Struthio camelus: one gene and its partners. The protein of the gene in region 2 interacts with the protein of the main gene of each other region in a biochemical or structural test. Links are inferred from orthologs where the notes say so. Each region holds a gene or a part of one and is shown on either strand. Other genes may lie near its edges. The genes, in order: MFN1, PRKN, PINK1 and PICK1.

Region 1 (7,080 bases), on a different chromosome or scaffold from region 2:
AGATTGAAGATCTTAAAACTCATTTGGATTTTAGGCATTCAGCCGATTTACCTCATAAATGTACCGATTGCTTAATGAGGTTTGGAAATGAAAAAGATCTTTTAAGTCACCTTCAGGTACATGAGACAGCTTAATTAACATTCTTTCCCTGTAATCGATTCGTTAGAATGGGAATTCTTTCCAGTCAGTCACTAAAATGTGAAGTTAAATACAATTTAACAGCGATTGTACAGTGGAAAATACTCACGCTTGCTCTTTGTATCAACAGAACACGTATGACAACTTGGCGTTGTGAATTTTCTTACTTGGGGGTTTCCGTAGGAATAATCGCATTTAGAGTGTGATGGATCAGATGCTGGGGGGAGGGACAGTGGGAGTAGTTGCCTGTTGTAATAGCTGTTCTGAAGGTCATCCTGTATTTTCATGTTTAATATTAAAGAGCTGCTTTCTTAAGAGTTTTAAAAAGAGACAAAGAGAAAGCCAACAGCTAGTTTCACGCTTAAGTAACTGTGCTTGCCATAGCGTTCACTTGCACACCGAACTCATGTTACCCTCTGCAGCAGCAGGTCAGCGTGCTTATGTCTAGCAAATTGCACTGGCCGGCCGAAGATAAGCGTAAAAATTCCCAGGCACGCAGTCTCTAAAATCATATGTTAGCCTGCATTTCCCACCCCCTGCTTTTGATAAGCTTTCAAAATTGACCTGTTTCCTTGGAGTACCTGTCCTACGTCGTGGTTTTGCTTCCTGTCTTTCTCTGTGCAGTGTTTAATTTCGACATCTGTCTGTGGAACCGCCCAGCAATACCTTCTAGTGCTTCATCAACTCCCACACGTTTACAACAGACTTCCCCTATTGTTTTTGTCTCCTTCGTTTACCTTCAGCCCTTATCTTTCTTTTGATACGTTAATGAGATGTGTGGCCTGCCTGTAGGTCGGGTCAGGTTTTAAGGCGCCATTGTAAGGGAATTTGCCAAGTGATCCAGCTGAGAATGTACGAAAAGCATGGTCTTTGCATGTAAAATCGTAATTGAGCTCTCGCTAAAAGGGTGTATGTCAGCAACCTCATTTAGAGCAAGGCTCTATTTGTTTATACTATTATAATTCGGTTACTTTGTGATTAGCTTTCTGCCGCTGGTAGTTGGAGGACAGGTATTTTAATTCTGTAAATTTTAAACTTATCCTATGTACTGGTTTAAAGCCCCGGCACAGTACATAAATTCTGTTAACTTTAATCATTTTCAAATGATTTTGCACATCACATTCAATAGTACTGTCTTTATATTATAATCTTTAAAAGTGAATTTTTAAGCTTCATCCTGTAGCTGTATTTCTGAGTGACTGATGCTTGGGCTGATAGTAAGGATGAGATCATTTAGATTGTGGTAGTTATTGGGGTGAAATTACCCCTATGTAAGTGGTGGAATTTCAATGTCTTTCTGTATTGACTGTAAACTTGTATGGAAGATTGTCTAATGCAAGCTTTGTATAAATCATGTATAAAACATTTCTTGAACAAGGAGATTTGGTGTTAGTAGCAGCAAGGTGTGTAAGGGTCTTTGCACTGGATTTTTAAAGGTAGGGATAAAAATTGGCTAAATTCAGTCAGCTTATGGAAGTTTAGTTTCTCGAGAAGTGTTTCTGCAGTCTAACATGAGCCAGTTAGCGTATGTTGCTTTGCAGGAGGCAAGACCATTTTCATCATTTGGAAATGCTGGTTTGCTACTGAATCTTCTGTGTAGTCATTGAAAAGAACAACCTGATCCCACAATGATTGTATTTTATTAATCCATTTATAGACAGTGACAGTGTCTGTAGAATTGCTAGCTTCCTATTTTGAACACGTCTATCCTGGCTGGCTTGCTATGGTAGCAATAACCTAGTTAACAAAGTAATAATAAGAACTAATTTGGATATGGAAAGTTAATTTTGCTCATCTTGGTATAATTGAGGAGGGGCGAATGCCAGTCCTCCTCTTACAAGCAGCTCCTGGTGACACACAGGTGGAACGGCACTGATGAACACTGGAGAGCAAGCCACTTTTTTTCGGAGACTGACACTAAGAAGGGGCCGCACTGTGGAAGGCACAAGAGAACACTGGGCTTTAGCGTGTCCCATCCAGGAAAGGGAGTTTTGTAGGCGCCGTGGAGCGCTGTGATGCGGAAAAGTTCCTTGACTCCTGAATAGCTTCGTGCCTCTAATTGTTGACTTACGTCCGTTTCTAATCTGTGAAATGGGAATTAAAAGAATACGTCATAGGAATGTTGTGAAGACCACTTGTTCCTAACAAAAAACCACCACGGTGTCTAATTAGCAAATATATGAAATTGAAATTTGTCTTAGGTTGAATTTTATAAATAAGAGAACAGTTTTTTTTTCTTTTAATATCTGCAGAAGGTAAATGGGAGTTTACATGAGCAGGTGGCCTCATTTTACCTTAGCAAGAACATAAATAGGATATTTGCTTCCAAATGCATGTTAAACATGACAGTGTGTGTAGTAGAAAAAACAAGTAATAAGAGTTAAGTCTGTCTAGAAGTTGGGAGGCCAAGAGGAACGGTTGTACATGTCAAGGACTATCTGTTGCTCCCCGCTGAAGGAGTTTACAAGGTAAAGGCTGTGAATTAAAGAGGAGAGGTTTGGTTTATTTACAGGAAATGCGTTAAGTGAAAGGACAGTGTTCTGAGGTGTCTGCATTAAGGTGAATTAAGACGACTTGAATGCTGCTGGTCTGATAACTGCCAGAGACTTGCATTGTCTTTATTCTTACAGCTTGAGCAATTCTCCTTGGTCTTGAATTAGAGAAATTACCTGTGGTAGTCAGAAGGGAATTATGCCCATATATTTTTTTTTTTCTCTGAGATGGTAAATAAGTGGGTCAAATTGAGTGTCTTGCTCCAGTGAAACCCGCAAGGTGCAGCTATCTGAGTAGCAGCATTCTACCTGGAAGCTTTACAGAATCACAAGACTGGCTTCAGAAATAACTTGTATTTGGTTCTTTGTCCTCAGGCTTTTGAGCCTTTAGGTTAACTGTTGTGTATTTTAGCTTCCTGGATCATGTTTGTTATTAAACAAGAGAACTTTTTATACGAAAAATTCTGCTGACTTGAAAACAAAATGAAAAACCAACGAATTATTGCAGGAACTTAGGATACAGTGCATTAGTAATTCTAAAATGATGTGTTCTCCATAATGCTTATTAAGTGCTGTAGACTTTCATGGTTTTCTGTGGTTCTCATTTTCCTGTGCTCTTTCGTGGTGATGTATCCAATATATAAATTATCAGTGCTTTTGAACTCTATAAAGTATTTTAGCGTTTGTCGTTTTAGTTAACAGCTGACTGATTAAACTGTGGTGCTGACAGTATTCAGGAATCCAAAGTCATGGTTCATGTTTTTAGATGTTTGTGACAACTTTCAAGGGCTTGGAAGCTGAGTGTTTACAATCTTAGATATGAACTGGGAGGAGCAGAAAGCTTATGAGCTGCTTATGAGCAGCGCAGGACACCGTTAGGTATAAAAGACTTTCAGTTCATTGAAGCTACGGTTTTATGTTGTGTTTTGCATCACGCAGCGCCTTGTAACAGCTGTGTCGGTCTACTTCTGGCTTTTCCAAACAGTTGCTTGGTACTTCAAGCAGCTTCTCCTCTTCCAAATGTTTGTTAATTAAAACAACAGTGTTAGCCCTACCTACTTCGGATTGCACCTAAATAAACAGCACGTCCATGAAGTGAAGCTGCCATCCCGGTAGACAAACGGCCAGGCAGCAGCCAGCGTCGGGGGTGCTCTGACAGAAAGGGCCGAGCCTCCCCATGGGCGGGAAGGGTAGAGAGCTTAAGATGGTCTCATCTCTTCACACGGTCCCGCTTGTAATTTCTGAAGGGGTGAGGAAGTCCTAGAGCTAGGCTGAAGGCGAAGGGAGGGCGTGCACTGCAGCCCGCCCGGCCGGGCTCCCCGCGCGGCAGCCTGCACCGCCACAGGCGAGCCCCCGCCTCCATTTCACAAGCACCGCGACGCCGCCGCTGCCCGCGCCCAAGATGGCGGCTCCCTCTCCCTTACGCACTTCCGGCCCGCGGTGAAAGCGACGGCTTCTGCGCTCCCGCCCAAAATGGCGGCGGAGCCGGGAGGAGGGTGAGCAGGAGACGGAAGCGGAAGCGCCGCCCGCCCGCCCGTCCCGTCGCGTCCCGTCCCGTCCCGTCCCGTCCCGTCGCGTCCCCTCCCGGCGGCGGGCAGCGGCAGCAGGAGGGAGCGGCGGCGGCCGTTGCCGGGTGACGGAGGCGCGCGCGCGCGGGGCCAGCGGGTCGCTCCGTAAGTGAGGTGCCGCCGCGCGTCCCGGCCTGGCGACCGCTGCGACACCGTCCCGCCGGTCCGGCCTGCCCTCGGCGAGCGGAGCCGCTGGCCGGGCCGGGCCTTTCCCGTGCGCTGCGCGAGGGGAGCCCGTGACCTGCGCGACGGTGTGAGGCAGCTGGCCGGGTTTTAGCAAGGGAAGGGGGGGGAAGAAAGGCTGTTGGGTTTGGAAAGGAAAACTAGAGGGTACAAAGTCTGTCGTGAGCCGCCACAGGAGTGTCTGAACGCGGCGGGGAAGGTTCTTAAAATATATATATATATATATATATATATGCTAAAAAGAGCTTTGCGGAGTGGCACGGCAGCTCGCCCTTGCCCGGCGGCGGCGGCGCCCCGAGGAGAGGCCGTTGGAGCGGGCGCGCGGCGGCGGGGGCAGACGCGTGTTGGGCTGGAAAAGGCAAAAAAGCCGCCGGCGCGGGTGTGTGGTGCCGGCACCCGGCTGGAAACTGGGGCGAAACGTTGCTCCTTAGGTAGAGTTCCAGCTGGGTAGTTTTCTAGGTGAGCTCGTGTTTGAAGATTGGCTGCAACTAACCCGGGGATTTGAAGTGCTGTGGCCGATGTTTTAAATGTTAAAGTTTATACCAGCAGGCGAAGTAGGGTGTTCTTGGTGTTGTGAGAAACCAGAGAGGAAAACTTAGTCTTCGTAGACTTGTTTTTTGTAAACCCCCCCCCCCACCGCCCCCGCCGTGACTAGGGAAAAGTAAGAGTTTGTCAGGATAATAAAATTAGTGTAAATTAACTTTTATTAGCGTTCATTGTACTTATTTTCTTAAACGTTTACTGTGTGAGACCTTGCATGACTTTTCGCTTTTGTTGGTGTCCTGAGTGTTGCAGTGACTTTTATGTAACTTTCCCGACAGTTGCACAATGGCAGAACCTGCTGTGTCTCCACTGAAACACTTTGTGCTGGCTAAAAAGACCATTACTGCTATCTTTGACCAGCTGTTGGACTATGTCACTGAAGGAGCAACTTTTGTCGAAGGTTAGTTTTCCTCTTAAACCCAAGGGCCTTGTCTGTTGCTTTGAATTCGCTTTCTGGTAGCACAGCGTGCATAATGATACACGTTAATATGCCGTACGTGTCAGCTTATTCCAGAAAAGTTGCGTTTTTTTCCTCTGAGTTGGATGCTTTCAACTTGGGCAAGCTGGAACGCTTAGGCTGGTTACATATACGAGAGGCTGGGGAATTATTTGGGCTGGTAGCCTAGCCTCCTTGCAGCGAGGGTGAAGGCTTGACCGCAGTCAGTGTTAGCAGTCGTGCAGTTTCTTCTGCACAGACAAGGGACCAGACAGGTTCTCCCAAAATTCAGTACAAAAGTCAGTCAGCTTGTCAGAGCACAACGGAGCACTGGTTACACCCTCAGAAGTGTTAGTAGTGCGGAGGAGCATGTGTTGCCAAGCCAACTTGGCTGCTCATCCCGCAGGTTAATCCTGACAGGAGGAGAGAGCCTAGCCCTGATGTGTTTTTTTTGTTTGGTTCAGTTTGTTTACAGTTGTATAATTAAAATTTAGACAGCTCTATGTTGGCACGTGAAGTACTGATAATCTGTGTCTTGTATCCTGCAGCATGTACTCTGTATGTGATTGCTTTTGTGCTATTCTTTTTGTATGTCTAGGAACATACAGGAACCCAGAGCTTGAACATGTAGCAACAGAAGATGAACTATCAAAGATACAGGCATATAAGGATAAGCTAGCAGTCATTGGTGAGGTGCTTTCACGGAGACACATGAAAGTGGCATTTTTTGGCAGGTAATGGATAAAATTATCAGAGCTTTTTTTTTTTTTTTTTTTTATTCCTTTTTCCCCTCATGCAGGACTTAGTGACCGTATTTTCTAAGTTTTATGCCCTGGCTTTAGTGTTTCCTCAAAAAATTATTGTTTAAAACATTATATATTAAAACATGTTATTTTGCTAATTGGTGCTAAATCTTTCTTTGATGCCATCTTGCTCCAACACTGTAGCTTAATTACGTACATCTTGTTACGTGTTTGTCATTGATAAACTATATAAAATAATTATTCTGCGTAGATCTGCGATTTGATTGAGGAGGGTCTAAGATTGTTGTTTTCTTCTCCAGAATGTTTATTTTAACTTGATGGTTTTGTTTGTTTTAGTATCTTTGTTTTGCTGGACTGTTGTTTATAAGAACTGTGGTTGGTGTTTGATCACAAGCAACTGTGGAAGAACTACTCTTTGGGCTGCTTTTGTTTCCACGTGTAAGCAACTGATAACAAAGTTAGAGAAACTTGCCTTGTTAATCATTAGTTTGCTATATCCCTGTGATGATTATTAGGGATGACGTATATATTACTGGCGTACACGTAAATCTGAATGAAGTTATGAAGCTATGAAGTTAGGCTCTTCTGTATCACTGACTGGGAGAAGTTCTAGTTCAGACCTTGGTACTGTTACCGCAGACTATTGCATCTTTTACATGTTTAAGTAACACTTCCAAAGTTTTGAGCGTTTTAAATTCCCTTCTGTTCCAAAAAAGATATTTTAAGAATTAGAAAGTTTTTAACTGAGGTTAGCTTTGGATCATCTAATCTTTAATTTTTTTATTTATGTATCAGGCAAATGGAGTTAAAAAGTAAGGTGTTTGTTGCACCCAAAAAATATGTTGTTACATAAAAAATTAAAATATTTTAAAGAAGTGCTGCTGGCTACTTAGACCCAAAGCAGTAAGGTTCTATGTCTCTTTGGTTGTAGCCGTGTTGTGCTTTATTTTTCAGTC
Region 2 (7,407 bases):
TTTGCAGCACAGTAATAGAACTTCGGAAGTATAGGTGGAAACTGTTCCTTATACCATCTTTTCTACCTCAGCTACTCTGTAGCTTGCTAGTTAAGAGATTCTTCTAAAAGGCGGGAGATAAAGTCTTGAATTCCCTCCCTACCTTTCCCTAAATAGCAAAATGAATCTTCTCTCTGCAAAAGTGCTTTTACTACTAGATTATTACAGAAAAGATGGGCACTAATACTTATTCTCTCATGGACAGGAGCAGAAGGCCAAAAATAAGCTTTGTTAGGTGTCTGGGAAAAAATAACCAACTGTTTGGAGAGATTCAGAATTGAACAGAGGTATCCTCCTGCTGCCCAGATTCACATACAAACATTTTTCTACTGTGCATACAAGTTTTTAGTTTTTTTCCTAATTCTACCCATGGATTAGATGTGAAGTCTAAGCACCTAACATGGCATTCTTGATTCCACTTTGAAGACTAAACAAATAAGATGTAAATGTCATTCGTACCTAGCTTATTACTGTGGAAGACCTTTATTGAATCTAGTTCTAAATCTACACTGCTAAATACATTTTCAGTTTTGGAAGGAAATAATATATAACCAAATACATTCCTCAGTTCAGGAATAATACTCTTGGTGAATCTTTTATCAAGTAATGTATTTAAATTAATAAATTTTAGATATAACATGCCAAAGCTGAGAAAACTCTTGAATAATACAGAATCACAGAATCACAGAATGGTTGAGGTCGGAAGGGACCTCTGGAGATCATCTAGTCCAACTCCTTTGCTTAAGGAGGGTCACCTACAGCACACTACCCAGGAGTGTGTCCAGATGGCTTTTGAATAACTCCAGGGAAGGAGACTCCACTACCCCTCTGGGCAACCTGGTCCAGTGCTCAGTCACCCTCACAGTGAAGAAGTTTTTCCTCATGTTCAGCTGGAACTTCCTGTGTTTCAGTTTCTGCCTGTTGCCTCTTGTCCTGTCACTGTGCACCACGGAGAAGAGTCTGGCCCCATCCTCTTGACACCCTCCCTTCAGATACTTGTACACATTGATGAGATTGCCTCTCAGTATTCTGCGAGAGTTGCCAGAGGCCTATAATTCTGTACTGACTACTGGCTGGCTACCGGCTACAAAGTTAGACTTGGGAAGACAATTTATCCAGTGACTTCCATGAAAAATGATTTAGTGAGACACTCTTTGCACAAGCAGTATTCTGGAACCTTTACTACAACATTTACAGCCATATAGGCATAATGGTAACCTGTTAGACTCTACGCTAAGAGTTTAAGCCTCACTGTATGCTTCCACCAAATCCATACCTAGTTGTTTGACCTGGAGATGCTGAACATGTTGTTGGCAACACTGTTCCTTGGCAGGCTGTTAACAAAAAGAATTACTATGCCTTAACTATATTAGTTTGCTATGCCTTTAACCCACCAATCAATTCCTAAGCCACCCATGACAACTTCACCTATGATGTCAACCTCTGGGAAGTGACTACTTAAGAAATCTGAAGCTCCATTTCATCAGTTGCTGGAGAAGAGAAAAGGAACTCCCACTTCTGAACAGATATAGAATGGCAGTGAGATATTATTCCTAACTGTACCCTAACTTTTTGAGCACTGACCCCAGGAAAATAATTCCAGTGGCTTCCTGGCCTCACTCAGACCTTTTGCAAGAAACAGCCACGGCATTATGAATCTTCCGGGACCTCTAACAGTTTCACTAGGTCCTAAGCAAGGAGTTATGAACACACTCTGTGGAAAGGGTGAGATGTCTGTTAACATCACCGCTGGCAGGGCACCAGGAGGGAAGGGCTGCAATGGAACAGGCTGCCCAGGGAGGTCACGGAACCTGCCCTTGGAGCTCACGGCTCAGCAAGGCGAATGCGTGGCTGACCTGGTCTAGTGCCAGTGACAGCCCCACTTTAAAAGGCAGGTTGGACTACATGACCTTCAGGGGTCCCTGCCAACTATCATTTCCATGATTCAATGAGCCGCCCAAGAGGCAGCAGATTTGCCCCTTTGCTGATTACAGAGTACCACATAGTTTAACATTCTGTTAATGTTTAGAAAGTTAGAATCCTAGCCATAAGTTAAAACTTTAATTATTTACAAGAAAACTTAAATTCTGATTAAACTGATAGCTTAAGCTATAGTCATCAGCCAAAGCTCTTTTTTTTTAATGAAATACAGAGATTCTTCAATGCTGCTGAAACTCTGCTGATTCTTCTAGACTAGATCAAGTACCTTTGAAGTATCAATGCATGAATGCATATTTGCACTTATTCCTGTGAAGTGAAATTTTGTCTGGAGAAGAGGAAATGTCTTTAAAAATTAATCCTTAAACTTGCTGAAGTGTTACAGTCTATGCCACATAGATCTAGAATTAAAAACAAACAAATCAAACAATCTTTAAGGCAAAACGCCGGTTGTTTTTGCTTTACATTCATTCTACTGAGGTCAAGCATGCTTTAATTTTACTACCACTGAAAAAGAATGTTCATTTATACAATTTCTTTCCATTTGAAGTTTGTTTAAAAACTTTAAAAAAAAATGCTGTTAGAAACAACAAGCCCAGGAAGACTGTAACAGGGTTAACTGTTCAAGCAAAACACAGGAAATCATGTATTTCATAGCAGTTATTACAAGAATATACACAACTGAAAAATCCTGAGAAGACAAAACTTTTCTAACAACTTGAATTGTACTCAGAAGTAAACAAACAAACAAAAAGCTATCTAGGAGTTTTATGTACAGATGTGTGCTCATAACAGCTTGACCACGGTCATGCTGAACATCTGCATTCTGAACTAGCTGAAGCTTTTATTTTTATTCCTAAAATCTAATAGAAGCAGTCAAATAAACCAATATAGAACAACACAAAAGTGCCCAAACCTAGTATTTTCACTTGTATACCTCTAAAATCATTAAAAGTTCAGTCAATTAATGAAAGGAGGTTGCTAGATTTTTATCTTGCTCATTCTAAGAGCTATCACAGAATCAACATTTGTTTCCAACTGAATAGTCTCCTATAGTGTGAAAGGCTTTTATTGTTTTTCAAGCATATTTTAAAAATGAAACATATTTTCCAGGTCCCTGTCATCCTGTGTGACATTCACACCAAATTTATACCACAAAGCAACAGCAGATGAACATGTTTTCATACAACACTACAGTATCACGTGACAGGAGTTTGCTAAACACAGAGTGGCAAGCCTTGCACGCAATTCTACATGCTAGTACTTTAATACAACGTGCACTGCCAATAAAAATCAATATAGAAATACGGTGACACTGAAGCAATGTATTCTGAGGCAAAGCATCAACATTTCCACAGGCACAGGCTGTTACCTTATGATAACACTTCTGTAAAATCTGAAAGTAATTCCAGCAACTGACAAACTCCAAATAAAGTCTTAGCAACCCACACACCTGCCTGTCAGTCTCTGTCCCCAGTTCTGGTTTGCTATGCTTCCTGGGCACGTGCGAGTAAATCAGTTAACACCACCCCTACACTAGCAGCAGACATACCACGGTGTTTTTCATCATGGCTTTGACAGTGAATCCATCGCTGACCTGCTGCTTGCTTTTCTTCACGTGCCCCAGTGGCTCCTGCTGCTGGGGCCGCCTGTCACCTACGGTCTTCGGGGGGCTCGAACCCGCCTTCTCCACTACCATCCCCTCTACCAGCAGCGTCCACGAGGGACAAGAACCAAAACACAGACTGAAAACAGAAAAGCCCAACCCAGTGAGTTAGAAACGCAGCACGTCTGCCTCTGCCCCCCTCCCAACCAAGGGCACGACCCCTCCCTTAGCCCTCCCGCTCCTTCTCTGCCCCTGCCCGGCCTCCTCGCTCGCCCCCTTCTGCACCCCCGGCTCGCCCTCCTCTTCCCCACAGCCCCCGCTCCTCCTTCCCTGGCCCTCCATCGCCACCTGCCCTTCTCGCCCGCCACCCCGGGCCAATTCTCGCCCCTGCCTGCCTGCCCGGCGCCTCCCCCCGGCCAGCGCCTGCCCCTCCTCACCCCTGCGCCACCCGCAAGGGCCCCTCGGCCGGGGTCCGTTGGGGGCGGGGCACTAACCGGTGCCGACGGCCGCACGCGTCCCGCACTCGCGCCCGTCGCTAGGCAACGCGTCAACAACCGGCCGCCTCAACCACCCGGCGGCCGTCACGTGCGCAGGGCAAGCACGAGGCTGACGGAAACCCCCGGCCCCCAGGGCAGGGCCCCGCGGCCCGCGAGGGACGGAGCCATCCAGCGGAAACTAACAGGTATCAACTACAAGGTGTCAAGCAGCGGCGCTGACGTGAGGCGAGCTGAGAGGCGTGAAGACGCCAGAACTACGCTTCCCAGAGGGCCCTGCGCCGGCGCGGGCCGCTCGGGCGGCCCCGCCGCTCGCGCCCGCGGCCGGAGCGAGCGCTGGGGCGGCCGCGTGCGCGCGCCCCCGCGCTCGCGCCCCCGCGCCCGCCGCCGTCATGATAGGTGAGTGAGCGCCTCAGTGAGGGGGAGAGCCCGGATGCAGCTCCTCCCGCCTCTCGGCCGCCGCCGGCGGGGCCGCGGCGGCTCCCCGCAGGCACGTCCGCGCTGCCGGCCTGTCCGCCGGTGGCAGGTGCCCGCTGTCAGCGGCCGCGGGTCGCCCCGGGGCCGGCTGTGGGGGCCGGGGCGGCGCCTGGGCGGCCGCGGGGCTTCGCGGGCCCCGCGCTGCGGCACGTGAGGGCCGCGGGCGGCGGCGGCGGCGGCTCAGCGCGTCCCTGTGGTCCGAGGGGGCCGCGCCGCGCCGCGTCCTGCCCTTGTTCCCGCGAAGGTCACTGCTGACGGCTCCCCCTCCGCGCGCCTCTGTCCATGCGGCTAGGCGAGCTGTGCGTGGTTCACCCACCGCTTCGGCCTTGCTTTCTGCCGTGTCACGGGTTGTCAGCTCGCACGTGGTTGCTCTGGCGCCGCGGTTGCGGGCAGTGGGCTCGGAAAGAAGCAATTTTGTCCTCATGCAGGTTGGGAATTGGGCCGCTCTGGTGGGGCGCTACATCCGCCTGATGTCGGTGCAGTACGTGAATCGGTTGTCTTCCGTGCTCACCGTTTTGTTTTCCCCTGTTACCTGTAAGATGTATCCGTGCTGGGGAGCCCCACAAGTCACGAGATGCGTTTTGTAGTCCTACCTCCCCATCTTGTTTTCACTTTTTCAGTGTGGATTATTTAAAAGTAAAAGCTGTAAGTTGTGGTAGGTGTGTTCTAAAAATTCCTTTCTTCAGGCTGTTCATTTCCTTTCGTTTTCAATGTAGGTGCCATATTTGCTATCTACATACAACCTGATCAAGGTAAAAAGCCTGCGGTCAATTGTGATCAAAGTGATTTGGCTTCTTTAATTTAACATCTGAAAAGTATCTTTTCAACTTGCTCCATGAATCCCATGACTCTTTCTACCAGACATTTTTCTTGGCAAAACATGAATTTGAACATTTGGGTAATGTTTTCTTTAAGCATAAGAGTTAAAATGAAAGTTTAAAGAAGTTTTATATGTGATGTTTTCAATCTATATGAGTAGGTCTGCAAACAGTCTGTTTCTAGCTTTAGGACCTTAATTACTGTTTTTAGTTGTTGTTTGGAGTATTTTTTTCTGATGTAACAGAGGCTGTTTTACATAAAAGGCTTGATTTAAGAAACCGCAGGATATCAGGTATTCCACTGTCTTCCACCTTTCAGTGCTTTGTCCACCTCTGATAGGACGTCTTGGAATAGTACATGACATACATGACTTTACAGAACTATGTTGTTTATTTTTGAATGCATTAACAAATTAACACAATGCTTTCAAAAAAAGCAGTAAGTTATGTGTACATAAGGGATTCCTGTGTGGTTACTGATGCTTCCAGCCCTTTTACTGAAGTCCAAATACGTGATGACTCACACTGCATATAAAGATAGCATTTTTATATGGTTGAGGTATTACAGTTTTATTTTCATTGTGATGGCAACAATATTTGTGAATACTGGTTATGAAATATACTTCCCAATTAGTTTAAAATCTGTAAACGGAGCTTTACCTGATTTGCAGCTATAAAAGCAACATCTTCTTAATTTAGCGAAGAAAATAGCAAAGTAGAAAAATCCAGACCTTTTTATTCTGTCTTTCTCCAAGTGTTTGAGCGTGGTCATGGCTCTTCTATGAACTCTTTCCCCATATGCTATTTTTCAGTATATTTTGCAGAGGAAGGGTTTTTTCTGTATCCCATAACATTCCAGAAGAGGCTATACCACTGATTTATATAACGGGGTTTTAATAGCCTTCAGATGATTGCTTATCCCATTTGTATTACATTCTACTGTCCTATTAGTTTTTGTTGAGTGAACAGAGATTTACAAAGAACTGTGTGCAATGAATTTTTCTCAGGTAGACACTTAGTTGAAAATTTAAAATGTGATGTATTACAAATGTTCAAAATACTTAAAATATCTGGAATAGTTTCTAAAAGTAGTTAGAGAAAGATTTGGTTATAAGTAGATTTCTAAGTAACCACAGCTGCAATGCTAAAATTTTATCTGAAAAGTAAAGATAATGTTTAATTTGTATATACTGATTTTTCAGTAAGAGGCTATTTCTTGAGGCTTTCAAAAATGTATTTTTTTAATCTATATGATATTTGCATTAGAACATGGTAGCATAAGTTAATTCTATAACAGTCCATTTGTGTAGAAAACCCATGGACAAATTCATCTGGAAAGTCTGTGGCAGCAGACACAATTGCACTGAATGCATGAGTGCTACCCAGATTTTAGTTCTTTTGCATGTGTACATATTTAAAAGCAATGAGCAGGGTAAATGCCCAAGGTGTCTCTTGCTTTTATAAAAGCTTTTGAAAGATTATTTGTTCTGTAATGTGTTTCACTTTAGGTCACAAAAAGGATTCCTAAAACTGCCATTTCACTTACATATGTATTATTTTTAAACTTTGCAGTCAATTTGTACTGTGTGCTAATGGGATGTTCAGTGCAGGACTTCAGGAAACTTTTCTATAGAGAAGTTTTACATTTTCTTCCTCTAGAAAAAATTTAATAATTATTTAAAAGCAGGATTTTTTTTTAAGGTAATGCTGAAGATGTTCAAAAGTACGTACTCAGCTAGCTTAGCAGGCTTACTCGTGCTGAAATAAGGAAGTTTGAGTGCATAAAAGGCGTTCACTAGGTGAATTCACTAGGTACTTTGGTATCAACATAACTGGCTCTAAATACTCTTTTCAGCAGATAATTGTCAGTGGCTTGATAATCAACCAAAGTTTACTTCAGAATACTAGTTTTCAAATCCAGCATATTGTGAAACAAGCCAACTATCACTGAATCCTTAAAAATGCTTCAGAAAGATACTATTATAACATGGGAATGTGTAGTGTCATGACTGTAAATCCTTCTTTCTCTAAAGTT
Region 3 (7,190 bases), on a different chromosome or scaffold from region 2:
ACAGGGGACACCCCCGGACCCCCTTCACACTGTACCCCCGGCAGGGGACACCCCCGGAACCTCCTTGGGCTGTACCCAGGACAGGGGACACCCCTGGACCCCCTTCACACTGTACCCCCGGCAGGGGACACCCCCAGAACCTCCTTGGGCTGTACCCAGGACAGGGCACACCCTCGAGCCCCCCTCCTCGGGCTGTACCCAGGACAGGGGACACCCCCGGACCCCCTTCACACTGTACCCCCGGCAGGGGACACCCCCGGAACCTCCTCGGGCTGTACCCAGGACAGGGGACACCCTCGAGCCCCCCTCCTCGGGCTGTACCCAGGACAGGGGACACCCCCGGACCCCCTTCACACTGTACCCCTGGCAGGGGACACCCCCGGGCTCCCCCGGGGCTGTACCCAGGACAGGGGACACCCCTGGACCCCCTTCACACTGTACCCCCGGCAGGGGACACCCCCAGAACCTCCTTGGGCTGTACCCAGGACAGGGCACACCCTCGAGCCCCCCTCCTCGGGCTGTACCCAGGACAGGGGACACCCCTGGACCCCCTTCACACTGTACCCCCGGCAGGGGTCACCCCCGGAACGTCCTTGGGCTGTACCCAGGACAGGGCACACCCTCGAGCCCCCCTCCTCGGGCTGTACCCAGGACAGGGGACACCCCCGAACCCCCTTCACACTGTACCCCCGGCAGGGGACACCCCCGGAACCTCCTCAGGCTGTACCCAGGACAGGGCACACCCTCGAGCCCCCCTCCTCGGGCTGTACCCAGGACAGGGGACACCCCCGAACCCCCTTCACACTGTACCCCCGGCAGGGGACACCCCCGGAACCTCCTCAGGCTGTACCCAGGACAGGGCACACCCTCGAGCCCCCCTCCTCGGGCTGTACCCAGGACAGGGGACACCCCCGGACCCCCTTCACACTGTACCCCCGGCAGGGGACACCCCCGGAACCTCCTCGGGCTGTACCCAGGACAGGGCACACCCTCGAGCCCCCCTCCTCGGGCTGTACCCAGGACAGGGGACACCCCCGGACCCCCTTCACACTGTACCCCCGGCAGGGGACACCCCCCAGGGCCTCCTCGGGCTGTACCCAGGACAGGGCACACCCTCGAGCCCCCCTCCTCGGGCTGTACCCAGGACAGGGGACACCCCCGGACCCCCTTCACACTGTACCCCCGGCAGGGGACACCCCCGGAACCTCCTCGGGCTGTACCCAGGACAGGGCACACCCTCGAGCCCCCCTCCTCGGGCTGTACCCAGGACAGGGGACACCCCCGGACCCCCTTCACACTGTACCCCCGGCAGGGGACACCCCCGGAACCTCCTCGGGCTGTACCCAGGACAGGGGACACCCCTGGACCCCCTTCACACTGTACCCCCGGCAGGGGACACCCCCAGAACCTCCTTGGGCTGTACCCAGGACAGGGCACACCCTCGAGCCCCCCTCCTCGGGCTGTACCCAGGACAGGGGACACCCCTGGACCCCCTTGGGCTGTACCCAGGACAGGGGACACCCCCAGGTCCTCCTCGGGCTATACCAATGGCAGGGGACACCCCTGGGACCTCCTTGGGCTGAGCTCACAGCAGGAGACACCCCCAGGGCCTCCCTTGGTCTGTGCCCACGGCAGGGGACACCCCCGGGCTCCCCCGGGGCTGTACCCAGGGCAGGGGACACCCCCGAGGCACCCCTCAGGCTGTACCTGCAACAGGGGACACCCCCGGGCCCTCCTCGGGCTGTACCCAGGGCAGGGGACACCCCCGGACCCCCCTCACACTGTACCCACGGCAGAAGACACCCCCAGGGCACTCCTCAGGCTGTACCCAGGACAGAGGACACCCCCGGGCCCCCCTCGGGCTGTACCTGCCACAGGGGACATCCCCCAGGCCCCCCTCGGGATGTACCCAGGGCAGGGGACACCCCCCGGGACCTTCCTCGGGCTCTGCTCACAGCAGGGGACATCCCCCAGGCCCCCCTCGGGCTGTACCCAGGGCAGGGGACACCCCCGGGACCTTCCTTGGGCTGTGCTCACAGCAGGAGACGCCCCACCCCGGGCCCTCTCAGGCTCCACCAACGGCAGGGGACACCTCCGGGGCCCTCCTCGGGCTGTACCCAGGACAGGGGACACCCCCGGGCTGTACCCAGGACAGGGGACACCTCTGGGCCCTCCTCAGGCTGTACCCAGGACAGCGGACATCCCCCGGCCCTCCTCAGGCTGTATCTTCGGCAGGGGACACCCTCCCTCAGGCCTTCCTCGGGCTGTACCCAGGACAGGGGACACCCCTCGGGACCCTCCTCGGGCTGTACCTAGGACAGGGGACACCCCTCGGGACCCTCCTCGGGCTGTAGCAGGACAGAGGACACCCCCGGGCCCCTCTCGGGCTGTACCCAGGACAGGGGACACCCCCGGGCTGTACCCAGGACAGGGGACACCTCTGGGCCCTCCTCGGGCTGTATCTTCGGCAGGGGACACCCCCCCTCAGGCCCTCCTCGGGCTGTACCCAGGACAGGGGACACCCCTCGGGACCCTCCTCGGGCTGTAGCAGGAGAGAGGACACCCCCGGGACCCTCCTCGGGCTGTACTCTCGGCAGGGGACCCCCCCCGGGCCCCTCTCGGGCTGTACCTACGGCAGGGGACCACCCCCCCCCCCACCTCGGGGGCCGGCAGGGGTGCCAGGACGGGCCGGGCCGCACCGCACCTGGATGCGGCGGCACGCCGCCTCGGCCCGTCGCTGCTCCTCCAGGCGCGGCTCCAGCAGGGCCAGCGCCAGCGCCAGCGCCAGGCTGCGGCCTCCCCCCCCCGCCGCGCCGCCGACCCGCCGCGCCAGCCCGGCCGCCGCCCCGCCGAGGAGCCAGGACCCCCGCGGAGGGCGGCAGGAGGAGGAGGAGGAGGAGGAAGGCGGCGGGCGGGCGGCGCGGGGCAGCCGCCAGCGCGGCAGCAGCCGCAGGGCGCGGGCCAGCATCAGCCGCAGCGCCATGGCGGCGCCCAACGGCTCTAACGGCTCCAACCGCCGCCGCCGCGCGCGCTGACGTCACCCCGCGCGCGCCGCCCCCTCCCGCGCGCGCGCTGACGTCACCCCGCGCGCCCCCGCCGGGCGACGGTTACACCCTTAACACCGCCCCCCCCCTCCCCTTTTATTCGGTTTTTTCGGGTTTTTTCCGGGTTTTTTCCCCCCCCCACCACCACCGCGCGTTATTTAATCAACGGTTCTGCCGCCGAGCTGCCGTTGGCCCGGGAACGGTGACCCCCCCCCCCCCCCCCGGTTCAGGCCCCTGAGAGGAAGACGCGGAGGCCGCGGTGGGGCCGCAGGCCGCCCGCCCGGCAGCGCCGGCGGAGCGCTCCCCTTTCGCCTTCCCTCCCTCCACAACCGAAGGACCCAGCCCTTTTTTTTTTCCCCCCCGCCCCGCCGGCGTGGCGGGTTTTGTGTTATTCGGCGCGTTTTACACCTTCCGCGACACCGCGGCTGACCGGCCTCCGCCGCCTCGGCCCTCGGCTCCCGTCGCGTTACCCGCAGGCGCCCTTCGGCCTCCCGCCCCCTCCCCAAAATCACAGCTTCCTCAGGTCCTCCGGCCCGAAGGAGAGCGGCAAAAGCTCCTCCAGGCTCTTGACGACGTAGGTGCCGTCGGGTTTGGTGAGGTACACGTCCCAGTCCCGGCCGAACTGCGGGGCGAGAAGAGGATCAACGGGCGCCCGGCGCCGCGGGAATCCCGCCAAGAGTCTTCCCGCGGGCCGGCGTGTGGGGGGTGGGGGGGGACACCGGGAAGGGCCGAGCCGGGGAGCGAAGAGGGGGGAGAAAAAAGCCCTTTACCTCCCGCATGACTTGTCTGCAGGCGCCGCAGGGCACGATGAAGTCGCCCTCGAGGTCGCTGCCGGAGAAGAGGAGGCAAAGCTGAGGGCGGCCGGCGAACCCCCCGGGGGGGGGGGGGCGAAGGCACCTGAAGAAACGCTCTTTCGGGCAGCCCCCTCCTTGTTTGTGTCCCCCCGCCGCCACCTCCTTGCTGCCCTCGACCAGGCGAACCCGCCGCGCGGCGCCTCACCTGGCGATGGCCATGGCCTTGAAGCTGGTGTGACCCTCGGAGACGGCTTTCTGGATGGCTGTGCGCTCGGCGCACACCCCCAGGCTGTGGCAGGCGTTTTCCACATTGCAGCCTAGGGGAAGGGCGCGCGCCGTCACCCCGGGGCTGCTGCCAGCCCCCGAGAGGACGCGGACCCCCCACCCACCCACTTCGCCGTTCACCCTGGCGGATGTTTCCCGGCTGTTGGCCCAAAGCTACAGGCGGGGCGCTTACCGGAGAAGACGTGGCCGCTGGCGGTGAGGAGCGCGGCGCCCACGGGGAAGCGGCTGTAGGGGCAGTAGGCGGCCGCCTTGGCCTCCCGGCTGCGCTGCAGCAGCAGCGCCCGGAGGCGCTCGGCCTCCGGCGAGGAGCCCCGCTCCATCGCTCCGCCGGCCCTGCGGTTAAATATTTCCCCGGCGGCGTGGCCCTCGTCCTCCCCCGCCGCGGGGCCGAGCCCGGAGGACGCCCCCGCGGGCGTGGGAAACGGGGCCGAGACCGCGCGAACGCCGCCGAGACCCGGCCCTTCCGCCCCTCGTTTTCCCCCCTGCGCCGCTTATTTCCCTTTCTTTTTTCTTTTCCCCCCTCCCTCTCTTTAGGCCCCGCGTTTCTAAAGGCTCCGGCGCCGTCCCGATGGGATCGGCAGAATATTTTCCATCACTGCTTTCTTTTTTTTTTTCTCCCCGGCAGCAAAGCTGTTTTATGACTCAATGGGAAAACGTCGTAAAATGTACTCGGGAGGGAAAACACCGGTTCCTCGGCAGCGAGATAAGACGATACGGTTGAAAGCAGGGAAAAAGCAAGAGAAATCAGCTTTTCCGGGCCTTGTAATGAAGAGTTAAAATTCCACGTTGAAGATCCGGATTGAAAACGTGTTTTTGCACTGAGATTTCGGCATCTGCCTGAGGCGGGGGGGCGCGGGAAGAATATGCTGCCGCCTGCAAGGCCGATGGAAAATAGGCGATTTAAAAGCCGGGAGCTTTCTTTAGCGAAGAAATCGAAGCTGAGCCGCTGGAAGAAATGCCACAAACTCCACGCGCTCGACGCCGGCTGCGTGCTCGCCCGCTGATTTAAGCGCGGGGAAGTCCCAAGCTTTTAGGAGCTCCGGTTTTCCCTGCCTGGGATGCGGGGAGAGTCGGACAAACCACCTTCCTCATGCAACATGTTATATCACCCGCCAGAGCTTTAGGGCTGCCAAGGCGCAGCGCGGGAGCGAATTGCCGGTGCAGGGGGTAAAGTGCGATTGCAGGGGGTAAAGTGCAGCTGCAGGGGATAAATTGCAGCTGCGAAGGGCAAATTGCAGCTGCGGGGGGAATATTGCAGCTGCAGGGGATGTATCGCGGTTGCAGGGGGCATATTGCAGTCGAGAGGGGTAAACTGCGGCCGCTGCGGGGAGCGACCCCCAACGCCGGGGCCGGCAGCTCTCGCTCCAGTTCGGCGCTGCTCGGTGCCCTCGCAGCTCCAGAAAGCCTGTTTGTGAGGGAAATAATCGGCTCAGAGGAGCAGGGCAGGAAAACGAGGGAGGAAGCAAACGCCAGGTCCCCGGAGAAGCCGAGCCGGCAGCGATCCCCGACGCTCGCCGCATTGACAGCGGGACCTGAATAACGCAGGAGCTATAAATAACCGGGCTGACAAACACCCCCAAACCCCCAAATCTGCATTCTTGCCCTAGAAATCCTGTCCCTGAAACCATCCTTTACGCTGAGAGCCGGGAAGCAAAGCAGCACAGAGCAAACCGCGTCCTTTGCTGGAAAACAAAACCAAAACACAACCGAATAAAGAGATCGAAAGAAAGGCTTGCATCTTTTATTATTTTGGTTGCCAGTGCTGCGGAGCTGCGCTGCACCAGCGCCGGCTCGAGGTCGTCGGAGAGAGGAGGGGTTGTCCGCCGCCGTCGGGTTTGCAGCACGCGCAGCGGCGTGGAGCGCCGGGGCGAAGAACCGCCGAGGAGGGGCGCGTTCGCTGCGCCGACGGGGGTCTCCCTGGGCGGCTCGGCGGCGGAGCCGACGCCGGAGCAAGCCTCGGATTCGGCAGGAGGCTAAAAGCTAAAATTTCCACCCAAGAGGGGCATCCTTGAAGGCCTGCAAATATGGCAAAAAAAAACAAAAAAAAACGGGGGTGGGGGGGAACTGAGTGAAAACCACCTGCGAGAAGGCAGCAGCGTTTGCAAGCCGGGCCGACGCGAGCGCCGCCGGGGGCGGCCGGCAGCAAACGCCTCGAGGAGCGCCCCGATTTGAAGAGAAAGCCTCGTCGCTGGCGCTAGGGCTGTGCGGGGCGAGCAGCTGCCGTGGTCCGAGCCTTCGGGGAAAAGGGGGGGAAAAAAATCACTGCCACCTCACTCCGCCCTTAATTTCCCCTGCGGGGAGCAGGGGGGGGGGGGGCTCCGCTCGGCGGGCTTGCCGGCGTGGCTAACGTTTGCCGAGGGCTCCCCGCGCGCTGCCTGATGCCGCGTCCCGGGGAGGTGGAGCAGCCCACGGAGGGCTGAGTCCCCGCTGCCGCCGCTCACGCAGCAGGAGCGGGCAGGCGAGCGGCTGCGCCTCGCTCCGCCGCCGGCTCCTCTGCGGCAGCTCAGCGGCTCCGCATCCCCCCGCGCCGAGGCCAGCGGCATCCTGCCGCAGCATCCGCCTCCCGCCGCGCTGGGGTAGGGAGCCGGCAGCGGGGGGGCGGCACCGCCGGGGGACCCCTCCGCGGCAGGTCAGCCTCCCAAAGCGGAGCGGGGCGGAGGGGCAGCTCGGCCGCGGGAGCATCACAGCGGCGTGGGAACGGTGAGACCCACGGGAGCATCGCGGCGGTGCGGGAACAGTGAGACCCGCGGGAGCATCGCGGCGGCGTGGGAACGGTGAGACCCGCGGGAGCATCGCGGCGGTGCGGGAACGGTGAGACCCGCGGGAGCATCGCGGCGGTGTGGGAACGGTGAGACCCGCGGGAGCATCGCGGCGGTGCGGGAACGGTGAGACCCGCGGGAGCATCGCGGCGGTGTGGGAACGGTGAGACCCGCGGGAGCATCGCGGCGGTGCGGGAACGGTGAGACCCGCGGGAGCATCGCGGCGGTGCGGGAACAGTGAGACCCGTGGGAGCATCGCGGCGGTGCGGGAACGGTGAGACCCGCGGGAGCATCGCGGCGGTGCGGGA
Region 4 (7,213 bases), on a different chromosome or scaffold from region 2:
ATCCAAGGACTTGCCCTGCTTAGGGTCAGCCTGAAGCTTGTTGTAGTGAATCGTCACTTCACCCTGCAGGAAGAGCAAATCCAAAAACTGCTGTTATCGGAAGCAAGCAGCAACAGCTTCCTTTACTGAAGGACAACCACCTGTAAATTGTGACCCAGCAGCTTCAGCAGCCCCCTCCTACCTCTCACCTTTACCATCTGTATCATCTTGGCCACCTCCACCTTGGTCTTCCCTTTGACGGACTTCCCATTCACTCCTGTGATTTCATCACCAGCTGCTACTGTCCCATCTAAGGCTGCTGGCGTGTTATCAAATACCTAGCAGAGAAGAGAAAGAGCACAGGTAGCCTGGAATCAGGAGGAAGAGATAAATGAATAGAGGGCCGAAGGAAGAAACAGGGAGGGCAGCAGAAGAGACATTTCTATTCCTCTTGTTTAACTCAATTGTATTTAGTACTGTTCACGGTGAAGCTTTGTTTTTTCCTCCTCTCCTAACTCAGAGGTGGGTTGATCATCTTGTTTTCTCAGGAACTTGTAGTCTCCATGACATGTCTCCTCAAGTGCTGGATTTCTCGAAACTGAGGAAGTCACACCACTCCTCTGAATTCTAACATGCTCTCCGAGGAGAAGAATAATTTCAGAAGTCTTAGTTTAATTCTTCCATGCCTATTAGATACCAGGGTAATGAGTTCTTATTTATTTTGAAGTGAGATGTTTCACACTTTGAACAAAATCCAAAATCATAAGACTCTCCACGCCATCCATCTCTCAGGCCAGCACTTTTACCAACATGGTTTATTCTTCTTCCCTGAGCACCCACCTGGACGATATAGAGACAGGGGCAGTACTGTGCTCCTCCCCCAATGCTGATCCCGATCAGATTCTGAGAATCCTTCTTCAAGGTTACTGTCCCAGGAACAGTGGGGATACCACTAGAATGAGAGAGAGGGAATGAATAGCTGGCATGGCAAGCACAGCTGTATTTGTATGAAAGAATAATGGTATTTGAGTCAATACAAACTGAAAACATAGTGGGTACTGCACATTTGAATTAATCACATTATTTCTGCTAGAGAGTCTATCAGCACAGATCAGCAGAAAAACCTTCAGCGCTATCTTTATTGTGATTGCATGCAAGAAGAGGTGATAGAGATACCTTCATCCACTGCTAGACAGAGAGGAAATGCTTGCATGTTTTAGGGAGTACTTCATCTGATCTTTGTGCTACAGTGAGAGGAAAACATTCACAAACGAGACGTAAGACAAGTGCTCCATCTCAAATTCTCTGCTAATCTCATAAAACCTTTCACTTGCTAAGAAAATTCTAGTGTTATCCTCCTTACAGATCTAAGGATTCCAGAGTTTCTCTCTATTTCTTCCCGCTTCTTATTTCCTTTCCTCCATTATAAGTCATTTCTTCTCTAGCTGAAGTCACTATTTACTGAAGACTTGCCAGCACTGCTTTGTGATCAGAAACTCATGGTAGTTACTGTAGAGGAACAGAAATCATTCGTCTCTGTTCACCAGCACAGCAACGCCTCATCCTCAATCTCCAGAGGAAGCAAGAAATCAGGACCGCGGTCTGACTCTTTAGCCTACGTCATCAGGAGAAGGTAAATCTCTCTGTTCCCATTAGATCTTGGCTGTTAGAGCTGTGTCTACTGTTAGCAAAAAATAGTAAAAGACGAGTGAAATACTCACAGTTTATCTTCTTCAATATCATAGTCCAAGTCTGCAAACATTGTTTTGGCTAAATGGAATCTGTTGGTCTGAAACGCTGCTTATTCCAAACTGCCTGAAAAGAAAGAAAAAACCCAATAAACCAGTGATCTCAATAGATAATTGCAGAGTTAACCTGTGACCCTTGTTAACCCTTCTCTCTCTCTCTCTTTTTTTTTTTTTTATTTCAAATGGTGCTCTCCATTTCTTTCTTGTACTGAAGAGGAAAAATATTTCAAGCGTCTCTCATTCTCTGCTCTGAGTGAGAGACCAGAGAAAATCCTCAAGTTCAAACATTGCTTGTTTCAAAACCCATATACATACAGTATTTCCAATGCAGAGAACAAAATACAGTCCATTCTGGAAACTGATTCTTTACATGCTCCACCTGTCTATCACCGTAACTTCTAAAGGTATCTGTGGTTTTATCCTTTAAGTGCATTGAATATTTGTTTCTTTCTTGATTTCATAGCAAGTTTCTAACTTTGTTGATGTTCATCTCCTACCTTGGGAGGCTACGTAAAGCTTTTCCTAACTCATTTTCAGAAGAGGTCTCATTACATTTCCCGTACGCAAACCCCCCTGTGCATCTTTTTTTTTTTTTTTAATTTCAGACATGAGTTAGCAAACGTTATTTTGGTTCCGCTCATTCTCTGCTTGTACCAAACGCACAGTCACACATCGCTTATGTCCGCACCGCGCCCAAAGCCAGCGGTGACCTTTGGAGGCAGTTACAGACACATCCTCCCCACACGCCACCTACGCACGACCGCTTCGCGCACAGTTTGCCTCCGCGCTCCCGGCCATGCCCTCGCGCCTCAGACACGCTCGGCCCGACGCGGTCCGTTACCCGCCGCGCCCGCGCCCCCTCCCGCAGCCTCGCGGCCCTGCGAAACGCACGGCCACGCTCGGGGGGGGGGGGGGCGGAGGAGGGCAAAGTTAGGGCGGGGGGGTTGGGGGGCGGAAGGAGCTGCGCTTGTGGCGCTACTCGGGATTTTTGGGGAGGGGGCGGACGCTGACAGGGCCGGGGGGGAGGGGCGGAGCACGACCGCACAGCCCCTCCCCCCGCGGAGCGCGTTGCCGGGGCAACCCCAGGGGGCGCCCCCGCTGGCCCTGAGGGGAGCGCGCGGGGGGGGGGTGTCCCGTGGCTCACCGGAAGTGCCCGTCCCGCGCGCGGCCCCCGCCGCCACCTGCCGCCCGGCGCACTCCGACCGCCGACACGTCACTGCTGGGGCCAACCCGGAAGCGCCCGGAGCTCCTCCCCCCCGCCCGCCCCGCTTGGCGACGGGCGTTGCCATGGCGACAGCGCACGGCGATCGGGGGCAGCCAATCGCACGGGCGACGCGGCGGGCGCCGGCCCCGCTCCCGCCGCCATCTTGAGAGCGGCATGGTGGCGCTCCGGGGGGAAGTGGGGCGTCGCCCCCTCCCACCCCACCCCACCCCACCCCGGCCCGGCCCGGCCCAGCGCTCTGGCGCCCCCCCGTGGGCCCCCGGGCGCGCTGCAGCCCCAGGGGCGCGACCCGCCTCGGGGTGGGAGAGCCCCACAAAATGGCCGCCCCCCATGGGAACCGCGTGGTCTCCTCTGCGCAGTCTGCGTGGCTCCGGAGATCGCCACAGAGCCCAGGCGCATCCTCCCTCCCGCCCGCCCGCCCCTCCTGTGGGGCCAGCTCGGGGAGCTGGGCTGGCAGAGAGCTGCCCTTGGGGGACGTGCCCTCCAGGCTCTACCTGGAGAGGCCTTCGGGCCTCACAGGGTTACCTCAGCATGGAAGGGACCAGGAAGGGAGTGGCGTGTGGTGGTGTGGGGCCTGCAATGCCCACTCCGGTTTTAGGCTGCATCCCAGCTCTGGTTTAGATTCACTAGGTATCACAGTCGCCTCACTACAAAAACCTTGATTTATGAGCACTGAGAAAGCAGACTGTTTAGTCTCAGTAAAATAACCAAGACAGAAAGACAAGGAGTTGGTGACAGCTGAGGAAGAGGATGGAAACTACTGAGCTAAAGGGGGTGTAGGTGTTTCATGGTGTAGTACAAAACACTAACACTATGACTTTTCCTATTACAGTTAAGGTATCATGGCAAACTATCTCAGCTGTTCACTCAGCAGGGAAACCCATGAGGGGCACCCAATGTGTGCCAGCACTGAGGAAAACACAATTTTTTGTACTTCCCTCTTGGAAAAATACAGACTGCCATTGCCTATTGCAGATGATGCACACTATAAAAATATGTATATACAATGCTTGCATGTATCAAAGGAACATTTCGGAAAGATGTTTGTGAATGGGAAAGCATTCTGGACTGATTCAGATGAAAGCAGGGGTACAAAGAGCTTCCAAACTGGTTTGTACAATTGCTTTTACTGCTGACAGGCCAGTGGTGACCTATGGAAGCTGTGTTTTGAAAGCCAGTCAGCACAGCTGTATGCAAAAGTGCCACACTGTCATGTATAAAGCAGTATTGCCAAGCTTTCATGCATTTTGCTCCTCTGTGATGTGGAGGGGGTAGTTGTTAGATGTTCAAATGAGCTTTCTGCCTCCATCAAGAGAGCACTGTCACTGGGAGAATGCTTTGATTTCCCAGAAGAATATAGTCTCCTGTTGCATTATGTATCATCTCTTCCAGCCACTGCTGACTTCTGAGGAATTACCAAGCTGCCAAACCTGACTTATTGACACAGATCAAAACAATACAAGAAAATCACACTCTTTGAACAGAAAACTCCTTCCTAACCAGCCACAAGGACTGGCTGAAGACAATGAACCTCTCTTGCTGTCTTAGAGGATGGTTAGTGTTTGCAGTGTGCAGCATCATGAACCTAGGAACTACATACATCAAAACACCGACTGAAGCCTCTCACAATGATGGAGTACAAGAGCAAGAGTAGGCTGTTAAGAATCATTTTGAAGTCCTGCATCTAAAAGATGATTTATTTATGAAGGGAAGCTGAATGAGAAATGCAAGTCCTGCAGAAGGGAGCTCTCTGAAGAGAACAGACTGATATCCTGACCCTGGAAGCTGACAGGAGTTTTACATCTGTGATCTGTGAAGCCCTGGAATTGATGAGCCAGTCCTTGATCTCTACAACTGAGGAAGTCTCTGTGGCCCAGCAGTGCAATGGCCCTTTACTGTGGCCAAGGAGGATGCAGAGAAGACAGAGTCAGACTCTTTCCAGAGCTTTTGCACAGCAAAAGACAAGAGGCAATAGTCCCAAGTGGCAGCATGGACATTCTGATTAGATAAAAGGAAAAAACTTCACTATGAGGGTGGGTAAGCACTGAGATGGTGGCCCACAGCAGCTGTGGAATAGCTATCCTTTAGAGAGAGTCAATACTTGACTGGACTGATTCTGCAGTGCTATGATCCTGAGAGAAACTCTGCAACATTTGGAAACATTTTCCTTTATAATTCTATGAAATTCTTTCAGATTCTTGGATCAAAACAGCTGATCCTAATTTTCTTCCTCTTAAACACTTACTTTGAAATACATTTGCATATTTAAAAAACCTGTCCCTCCATCCTCCTCGACACGTATAACTTCACTATTGGCAACTGTTAAAGGGGGAGTTAACTATAGCATTATAATGTATTTACGATAAAGTTACATTGCAGCTTCAGCTGAACTCCAGTCCCTGGCTAGCTGGGTACTGCAAAACACATAGGAAACACTCCTTAACCCTGCAGAAGTTGACAGTTAATACAGACACGAGATTATAAAGCAAATGAGCAAAGGTCACGTGGTAATCAGCAAGCAGAGACAGGAGTAGAAGTCAGACCTGCTCTCTGTCATGCAATGGCAGGATTGCTTCATGCAATGCGTTAGGGGCCTGTTAGTCCTACACTGTCCTGTTGCTGAGTGGTCTAACCTCCCGTTTCGTGAACCTAGGCTACCCGGTCCCAGGGTGGTAGCGACCACTGGGCAGCCAGCGGTGCTTAATTTCTAAGGGGGCAGCTCCACCGTGTGGGCACTGCTGAGAATTTCTGCTGTCAGGAAGGGGGCCTAGAGTCAGACGTACTGACTCTGGGTTTGAAATGGTGGGGTATTTCTCCTATTTTCTTGCCAAGAAAAAAAAAATTTCCAAACATAGGAGAACACCTGCATAACACGAACCATTTGGTTTTGCCCAAGGGGGACTGCTCAGAGCCTTGTGCGTAGCAGGGCACCAGACTGGTTAAAAGAAATAGCAGGATCTCATTTTTTCTGGGTCCATTTTTGCTGCTAGAACTGCAAGGGAAAAGAACAGGCAGTGAATTTCTCATTTCCCATCAGCTCCTGCTGTTAGAAAAAAAGACGAGAGGCAGAACTGGCCTGGGGTAAAAAAACAGACCTGCTGACACTGACAGGACCAAAATCTGTAGGTAGGTCTTGTGTGTCCTGCTTTTGTGCTGTTCCACTGATGTGTGCATATGCAGCCCAGTATGTCATGGAAGCAAGAGCCTATGCATGCATGCACTGACTGACCCTGCCCTATGTGCACAGTAAGCCTTGATTTGTCCAGGATCAATTGGACTCTCTGTACATGAGATGGAGAATTAAGCTACATGTGCCCTAAAGTCATGTCTGTCCCATCATTAGAAATCCAGGAAATCACCATCTCCATAGAGAAAGGGTGATGAATTATTGCCGGAAGTGGTAATCTCAAATCCGAAAAAAAAAAAAAAAAGCCTGGCTGGCCTGTAAAAACTCCCAGGAAGCTATTTGTTCTCAAGAGTAGGTCTGACTGATTATCACATCACAAATATGAAATGCAGCTGTACCCTGAAAAGTGGGCTTCATTCCTACTGTTTACCTGTACTGCTTAGATCAAGAAGGCTCTGTCTGCAAATACATTTTCCCACCCTTAAGCAGACAACCCAGCAAACTCAGCCCAGGCTCTGAGAGTCGAGCTCTCTTCTGCTTGTCTTTCATCATGTGTAATAAGGAGTCTGCAAGCAAATCACACGTTGCATGACTAGTCAGCTTCTTGGCACTCGGATGTATTTCTCTGTACTTGGTCTGTGCTGAATCTCATGTTTCTGGCTGCTTTTCTGCTACTGTTGTCAGCTTAGAGTCGACATGACTAAAACTGAGCTAACACCCTCCTCAATTGTTGTCCCTCAGGCTGTGTTTTCTGTTTTGGAGGAAATCGTCAATAGGTAACTGATTCTGTGGGAATTATATTCCCCTTCTCTGGCCCTGCCCTGCCCACCACTCCACAGGGCCCGCCCCATCTCTGCCCCACTTCTGCTGGATGCTCCAGACCTTTGCAGATGCCTCTACATGGTGCAGGTGTGAAGGAGATGTTGGCTCCACTGAGGTGGAATAAGGGATAGTCATTCATAAGGCTTATTTTTTGTGTACTGAGGTGAGCGTATGCTATTATCACACACACCCTGGGCTACCAACTCAGAGAGGAAGGGGTAAGAAACACATTGAAAACATGTCTACAAATGACCTAACTGCTTATTATTTTATCACTGTCATATTCAAACTCTCAAGACCTCCTGGGATGAGAAG

What was found.
Region 1: of the proteins of PRKN (region 2) and MFN1, one has a biochemical effect on the other in vitro, tested with the Homo sapiens proteins (3 studies listed by BioGRID). The link is inferred for Struthio camelus from reciprocal best matches to the Homo sapiens genes PRKN and MFN1.
Region 3: of the proteins of PRKN (region 2) and PINK1, one has a biochemical effect on the other in vitro, tested with the Homo sapiens proteins (12 studies listed by BioGRID, with this or other methods). The link is inferred for Struthio camelus from reciprocal best matches to the Homo sapiens genes PRKN and PINK1.
Region 4: the proteins of PRKN (region 2) and PICK1 form a complex in vitro, tested with the Homo sapiens proteins (3 studies listed by BioGRID and IntAct, with this or other methods). The link is inferred for Struthio camelus from reciprocal best matches to the Homo sapiens genes PRKN and PICK1.

What each region holds. Positions count from the first base shown.
Region 1 is NC_090950.1:24,791,858-24,798,937, reverse strand, and holds the start of MFN1 (mitofusin-1), read left to right. Parts: upstream 1-4,076; 5' UTR 4,077-4,103; coding exon 4,104-4,126; exon of another isoform or gene 4,127-4,451; intron 4,452-5,202; coding exon 5,203-5,324; intron 5,325-5,958; coding exon 5,959-6,094; intron 6,095-6,458; exon of another isoform or gene 6,459-6,562; intron 6,563-7,080. Other genes in the region: ZNF639 (zinc finger protein 639), read left to right, coding at 1-134. UniProt on the Homo sapiens protein: Mitochondrial outer membrane GTPase that mediates mitochondrial clustering and fusion. Membrane clustering requires GTPase activity. It may involve a major rearrangement of the coiled coil domains.
Region 2 is NC_090944.1:86,490,917-86,498,323, reverse strand, and holds the start of PRKN (E3 ubiquitin-protein ligase parkin), read left to right. Parts: upstream 1-4,405; 5' UTR 4,406-4,469; coding exon 4,470-4,476; intron 4,477-4,870; exon of another isoform or gene 4,871-5,322; intron 5,323-7,407. Other genes in the region: PACRG (parkin coregulated gene protein), read right to left, coding at 3,530-3,676. UniProt on the Homo sapiens protein: Functions within a multiprotein E3 ubiquitin ligase complex, catalyzing the covalent attachment of ubiquitin moieties onto substrate proteins. Substrates include SYT11 and VDAC1.
Region 3 is NC_090962.1:12,708,673-12,715,862, forward strand, and holds the start of PINK1 (serine/threonine-protein kinase PINK1, mitochondrial), read right to left. Parts: upstream 3,019-7,190; 5' UTR 2,984-3,018; coding exon 2,705-2,983; intron 1-2,704. Other genes in the region: CDA (cytidine deaminase), read right to left, coding at 3,686-3,872, 4,044-4,155, 4,296-4,443. UniProt on the Homo sapiens protein: Serine/threonine-protein kinase which acts as a sensor of mitochondrial damage and protects against mitochondrial dysfunction during cellular stress.
Region 4 is NC_090942.1:58,521,742-58,528,954, forward strand, and holds the start of PICK1 (PRKCA-binding protein), read right to left. Parts: upstream 3,005-7,213; 5' UTR 2,872-3,004; intron 2,724-2,871; exon of another isoform or gene 2,482-2,723; intron 1,795-2,481; 5' UTR 1,742-1,794; coding exon 1,701-1,741; intron 932-1,700; coding exon 820-931; intron 318-819; coding exon 189-317; intron 64-188; coding exon 1-63. UniProt on the Homo sapiens protein: Probable adapter protein that bind to and organize the subcellular localization of a variety of membrane proteins containing some PDZ recognition sequence.